Linked DNA regions of Oryctolagus cuniculus. Each later gene encodes a partner of the first gene's protein in a complex. Links are inferred from orthologs where the notes say so. Each region holds a gene or a part of one and is shown on either strand. Other genes may lie near its edges.

Region 1 (3,808 bases):
GATGGATGAACGCGATCCCACCAGGGGGAAGAGAAAGAAGAGCATCCAGGTGGAGGAAACAGCAGGGGCAAGGGCTGGGGCGGAGCCGTGTGTGGCACAGTGGGAGCAGGGCCAGCAGCCTGACACAGAGTGTGCAGCACAGCGGGGCAGGCAGGGATCAGATCACGAGGGACCCTGGACGCAGGGCTGAGGGGACCAGGTTGCCAGAGGCCGCTCCTCATTGTGGGACAGAGAGCCTAACCGACAGGGACAGAGCACTCAAGGGGAGAGTGCGACCTCCTCCCTTTCCAGAGGGTGTGCAGGGAACCAGAGGCAGGGAAGACTGGCTCTGTCTTTACCTTCTCTAGTCAGCAGGGACCAGACCCGAACGGCTGGGAAAGAGAGCAAGTAGGACTTACCTCAATCTTTCTCATCACCAGAAGGCCATCGATGATTTTTCCTGCAGGAAGAGTACAAGTTGGACTTTATTCTTCTTGTTTACATAGCATTTTCATTTCCAAAGCATGTTCTTGGATATTATCTTACTAATCCCTTTTACTAACTTTCAGAAATGGAGGGGCTGGTGTTGTGGTGTAGCAGGTAAAGCTGCCTACGATGCCAGCATCCCATATGGGTGCTGGTTTGTGTCCAGGATGCTCTACTTCTGATCCAGCTCCCTGCTAAAGGCCTAGGAAAAGCAGTGGAAGATGTCCCAAGCGTTTGGACCCCTCCAACCTACGTGGGAGATATGGATGAGGCTCCTGGCTCCTGGTTCTGCCCTGGCCCAGCGCTAACCGTTGCAGCCATGTGGGGAGTAAACCAGCACATGGATGATCTCTCTTTCCCTCTTTCTCTGCAACTCTGACTTTCACATAAACAAACAAAATCTTAGAAAAAAAATTGGGATTCAGTGGAAGCAAAATGACTTGCCTAAGGTCACAGGTAACAAGCAGCAAAGTTAGGGCTCAAGCTTATTTTTTTTATCTTATAGATTTAGTTACTTGAGAGGTAGAGTTAGAGAGAGAGAGGTCTTCCATCCGCTGGTTCACTCCTAAAATGACCCCAACGGCTAAAGCTGAGCAGATCTGGAGCCATGGGCCAGGAGCCAGAGCCAGGAGCTTCCTCTGGGTCTTCCACAAGGGTGCAGGTGCCCAAGCACTTGGGCCACCTTCCACTACTTTTCTAGGCACATTTGCAGAGAGCTGCATGGGAAGAGGAGCAGCCAGGCCTTGAACCAGCACCCATATGGGATGCTAGTGCCACAGGCGGAAGCTTAGCCTACCACACCACAGTGCCAGCCCCACGTCTGAACAATTCTAAAACCCACTGTAGTATGTTGCCTGTATGGCATGTCTTTTTTTTTTTATAGATTTATTATTTTAAAGGCAGAGTTGGGGGGGCGGGGTTGTCCTTCCATCCACTAGTTTACTCTCAAAATGGCCACAATAGCCCAAGCTGGGCTGAACCAAAACCAGGAGCTTCTTTTGGGTCTCTCACAGGGGTGTTGGGGCCCAAGAACTTGGGCCATCTTCTGCTTTCCCAGGTTACAGCAGAGAGCTGGATCGGAAGTGGAGCAGCGAGGATTTGAACCAGCGCCCACATGGAATGCTGGCACTGCAGGTGGTGGCTTAGCTCACTACTAGGGCATTTCTTTAGTCCCAACATCTGAGTTTTTCCCTTCAGCATACCTGTTACCCAAGTGGTTACACACCACATCAGGTCGCCCCTTTGCTCTTCCTTCTAGTCCTCTAACCACACATCTTCCCCACCCCACTTGCATCTGCCCTCCTACTACCTGGAGGTAACACCAGTTGCACATTCTTGGCAAGGGTTTGGGATTGGCTCCTCTGGGAGTCCCACCTTGGATGAGTGGAGCCTAGCTGTCAGGACAGGAGTAGAACTTACCAAATACTACGTGCTTCCCATCCAGCCAATCGCACTTCGAGCAGGTGATAAAGAACTGACAGCCGTTTGTACTGGGACCGCTGTTGGCCTGATGGGGACCAAACACACCTGCAGTTACTTTCTCTGTCCATGTTAGAGGCGAGATTCCCAAAAGAGCCTGTGGCCCTGGTTCCTCCACACTTCCTTTCAGTAAACCTATCTGAGCACCTATTAGGGGTCACAGCCTAAGCCAGGATCAAAAGATACAGAGATGGGGGCTGCAACACCAGTACCCAACAGGTGCCAATTTGAGTTCTGGCTGTTCCACTTCTGATCCGGCTCCCTGCTAATGTACCTGGGAAAGCAGTAGGGGATGGCTCATGTACTTGGGTTCCTGCCACCTACGTGGGAGAGCCAGATGGAGTTGCAGGCTCCTGGCTTCTGCCCGGCCCAGGCCTGGCCAGTGTGGCCATTTGTGGAGTGAACCAGCAGACAGAAGAGCTTGCCCTCTCTCTCTCCCCTCTAACTTTGCCTCTTAAATAACAAACTTTAAAAAACTTAAAAAGCAAAACCCAAAGACACAAAGATGAACAAACACAGCAGCCCTGCTCTTGAGGAGCTGGACCCTTTAACAAATGTACATTTTCCCTACAGAGTGTTTACAATAGGAACAATTGTTTTGGAGACATGATTTGTTGTATTAGTCCCAAACTGGTTACAACTTGATGATAATTACAAATTAGCTGCCAGCTGGGAAAGGCCTGTCTGAATGACTTTGTACTAGATCATAACAATACTAACAAAATGTAAGGAGCTGCAAGAAGCTGCTGTGCTAGAAAAATGACATTTAGTTCATGCTTGCTTGTAGTTATTCATATTCAGAGCCACACCCAATCTCATTATTATTGAAATTTACAGGAAAAATTACTTTCCAGAGAATCTGAAACTGTCTAGCCATCTCTTTGACATTGTTTTTAATTATTGTATTTAATAATGCACTATAATTACACAGCAGAGTGATACCTTGCAAAGAATCCTTGACTTTCATATGAAGTGGACTTTGCATACATTTTAAACTGATAACCTAAACTGCCTTTAACCTGCGAAATTCAGACTTCTGTACATCAGTGAACTCCAGCTGGAATTCGGCAGCACTGCCTTACAACAGGGTCAGTTTAACTATGTGAATATTTTGTTGTACATTTCCCTTATTTTGGAAAACAATGAGTAGAGAGAGGAGAACTGAAATTATTACTACTCTGAAGGAAAGACAGATCTCATAAAATTAACACCACTGAGACAAAAGTGGCAATTTTATTAGATAGGCCACTAACTTGAATCAGATTTTTAATGGATTTAAATTGGCTAGGTCTGTGTTTCAACTGTGAAGAAAAAATGTGAACGAAGTACTGGCAATACATTAAAGATTATGTTTAGAGAGGTGACCACCAGTTAGGGATTTTATATCATATTTTACAAATCCCTCATGTAAGAAGGGGCTAGGGGCCGGCGCTGTGGCGTAGCGGGTAAAGCTGCTGCCTGTGGTGCTGGCATCCCATATGGGTGCCCATTCAAGTCCCAGCTGTTCCACTTCTGATCCAGCTCTCTGCTATGGCCTGGGAAAGAAGTAGAAGATGGTCCAAGTCTTTGCATGAGACCCAGAAGCAGTTCCTGGCTCCTGGCTTCAGATCAGTGAAGCTCCGGCCGTTGTGGCCATCTAGGGAGTGAACCGGCGGATGGAAGACCTTCCTTTCTCTCTCTCTCTCTGCCTCTCTGTAACTCTGCCTTTCAAATAAGTAAATAAATCTTAAAAAAAAAAAAAAAAAAAGATGGGGCTATTTTGGGGATGTATTCAAAACATTTCGTATGAAAAGTAACAGACTGCCTAAACAGGCCAGAGTAGTCCCACTTTGGAATGTAGGATAGAATTCCCAAGGACTCCAAT
Region 2 (2,985 bases), on another chromosome or scaffold:
TCCGCTGGGCCACTCCCCAGGCGGCTGCACCGCCCAGGAGCCAGGCGCTCCATCAGGGGCTCGCGCGAGGATGGCAGGTGCGTTGGCTGGGAGCAGCCGGGACTGGAACCAGCGGTCCTGGGGGGTCGAGGCGGAGCTTCACCCGCTGAGCCACGGCGCCGGCCCCTAAGACGCCGCCACCACGGAGCTGTGGGCCGCAGAGCCGGGAGCCCCAAGCCGTGGGGGCTGCACTTACGTCCCTCCAATGCTGTCGCCCCTCCAGACGGGCCTCGGCCGGCCGTGACCGGAGAACGCCCAAGCGGGGACCCAGGCCTCCCCTGCGTCACCCCCCCCCGGCCGTGACCGGAACCCCTGCCCCCCCTGAGGTTGGGGGGCGATCACCAAGGTGACACCTGGTGGGAAAACAGAGAGGGGGCAGCGGGCCGGACAGTGGCTCCAGCCAGGGTGCCCCCTCCCCGACTCTCTATCAAGACGGGAGGGGCCGCAGGACAAGCCGGGCCAGGAGCTCGGGAGACCCCCCCAGCCCCTGTGGAGCCCCCAGGCCGGGTCGGGGCCCCCAGATGTGGTCTCCTGGGGCCCAAGGGCTGCAGGGCGGACGCAAGCCGAGGGGCCTTGAGGCTGGACTGGGCTTTATTTTCAGAACACAGAGAAATGGAAGCAAAGGCGCATGGGCCGGCCCCGTCCACTCCGTCTGGAAGGCGACACTACGGCCCCCGCGGGCCTGTCGCCGTGCGGGAGGGGCCGGCCCTGGGCCGTGCCAGCAGGTGCAGGCCGGGCTATCCACGGAGCTATCCACGGAGCCGGGCCGGCCTCGGGGCGGGGGCTTCACAAAACCAACACCACCACACAGGTGTCCACACTGGGGGGGGGGGCGAGGCGGCCCGGCCGGAAGGAGAGGGTCCCGCAGCGGGGCAGGGCTTCGGTCTCGGGGGGCGCGGCTCACTGCTTGCCCGCCTGCCGGCCCGGCTTCTTCTCTGGCTGGCCTCGGCCAGTGCCTGGGATCCCGCCTCGGCCCCGGCCGCCAAACACACCTGCAGGGACGGACAGAGGCGGCTTGGCCTCAGCTTCCCCAGCTGTGCGGCGGGGGCCGGGACAAGGGCCCAGGGAGGACAGGGGCTCCGCCACTGGCCAGGACCAGGGCTTGAGGGCCTAGGGGAGCACCGCTCCCCCCCCCCCGCCCGCACCTCCCCCGCCCCGCCCAGCCCTGCCCGCACCTCGCCCGGCGCCGCCCAGGCCGCGGCCCTTCTGCTGTTTCTGCTGCTGCAGGCCCCCGCGCCCGCGGCCCTTGGCCACCACCTCCTCCTTGACCATGTCGATGATCTCGTCCGGGATGCGCAGGTACTTGATGGTGCTGCCGCGGATGTAGCACTCGGGCATCCGCCAGAACTTGTCCCCGTCCTGGGCCGGAGGCAGCGCGTCAACGCCCGGCCCGGCGGAGGGTCCCTGAGCTGCGGCCAGGGCCGAGGCTGGGGGGCGCCCCCCCCCCGGGCGCCCCCCCCCCCCCCCCCCGCGCAGGGCCTGTCTGGCCCCTGGGCAGCCAGGAAGCCCCGCCCCCAGTGAGGCTGCTTGGGTCTCTCCCACCCCCCACTCCCCCTGCCCACAGCCCCCCTTCTAGAGCTGTCTCTGGGCCTGAGCAGGGCACCGACGGAGCCACGGCCCAGCGGGGCAGTGACCGGTGCCGTGGGCCGAGAGGGGCACCCCCAGCACGCCCCGCCCCCACCCCACAGCCCTGTGTGCCCCTGTCCCACAGATGCAATCCTGGCACTTCCCGGCCACACCCCCGCCCGGGCCCCTGCACAGGGACAAGGTCCACACAGCTCGGGACCGGCCCCGCCCTGGCCACCAGCCCCGCACGGTGCCTGCAGGCGCTGTTCCCGGCCAGAACCCCCCCTCCGGTCAGCTGCTCCCCGGGCGGCTGGGTGGGCGTCGCCGGCCGAGGCCGCTGAGGGCGGGCTCCCAGTGGGGACCCCAAGGCCAGCCAGACACAAGTAGGGCGGTCCCATGGGGCCCAGCTCCAGCGCCACGCTGGCTCCACAGTGGCCAAGGACAGGCCGGGACGTCACTCCTCCCCGCGGGCGCCGGGGATCTGGAAGCAGGGCCCGGGGGCTGAGCCAACCCTGGGGAGGCGCCGGGTCCCTCCCACCCCACCCCACCCCACCCCGGGGTCTGACCCAGCACCTCCCACCGGGAGGCGGGGCAGCCCAGGCCTGGCGGCCACCCCGGGGTCTGCAGGGGCTCACAGCCCGGGGGGAGGCCCTCAGTGGGTCCTGGGGAGCCGCCCCGCCCCTCCCACATCACCCGGTAGGTCCCGGCGGTGGGGGCACTGCCCTCCTCCTGCTGGCCGGGTGACGCCCACGGGGCGGGGCAGCAGGGGGGCGGGGCGGCGCGGGCCTCACCCTGGACGTGCAGATCACCTCCCGCAGGTTGATGTTCATCCAGTTGTCGCAGCTGACCAGGTGCCCGTTGTACGTCTCCCCGTTCTTCAGCTCCACCAGCTGCCGGGAGTCGGGGCCGCAGGTGTAGACGCCCGGGGGGCCCGGCTTGGCCCTGCGACCCCGCGAGGCCCGTGGACCACCTCCCGCGCGTGCGCACCCCAGCCCAAGTCCCTGCGCCCCCTGCCGCCCACCCCCCACCCACGCGGGGGACTGGAGGGAGCTCCCGGCTGCTGCGGGCGCAGGGCTGCGCACGGGAGGGCGGGAGGGCCCCCGCACACTCACCATGGGGTGGTTCTGCGCCGTCTTCAGCAGCGACAGGGGAAGCTGAAAGGCAAGCGTGCCAGGGACTGTGCGGCCCGGGGCGGCATCCCAGAAACCCCAAACTCCCCCCCCCCCCCCCCCCGTCGTTCTGCCAGAGAAGCCCCACCCCCCGGCGGCCACGCCCACGCCCCAGCGCGGCCACCCTGACCTCTCTCCGTGCCCTGGGCAGCACCTGCGGGCCCGTTGCCTCGCCCCAGGCGGCCCACGTGCAGAAGGAGCCCGCTGTGCA

Evidence for each region.
Region 2: PPIH (region 1) and LSM4 share a complex: the UniProt entries of both Homo sapiens proteins name them as parts of the U4/U6-U5 tri-snRNP complex. The link is inferred for Oryctolagus cuniculus from reciprocal best matches to the Homo sapiens genes PPIH and LSM4.

Annotation. Positions count from the first base shown.
Region 1 is NC_091438.1:130,416,384-130,420,191, forward strand, and holds part of PPIH (peptidyl-prolyl cis-trans isomerase H), read right to left. Parts: intron 1,973-3,808; coding exon 1,885-1,972; intron 440-1,884; coding exon 399-439; intron 1-398. UniProt on the Homo sapiens protein: PPIase that catalyzes the cis-trans isomerization of proline imidic peptide bonds in oligopeptides and may therefore assist protein folding. Participates in pre-mRNA splicing.
Region 2 is NC_091447.1:65,592,524-65,595,508, forward strand, and holds the end of LSM4 (U6 snRNA-associated Sm-like protein LSm4), read right to left. Parts: intron 2,760-2,985; coding exon 2,718-2,759; intron 2,496-2,717; coding exon 2,397-2,495; intron 1,399-2,396; coding exon 1,215-1,398; intron 1,032-1,214; coding exon 940-1,031; 3' UTR 613-939; downstream 1-612. UniProt on the Homo sapiens protein: Plays a role in pre-mRNA splicing as component of the U4/U6-U5 tri-snRNP complex that is involved in spliceosome assembly, and as component of the precatalytic spliceosome (spliceosome B complex).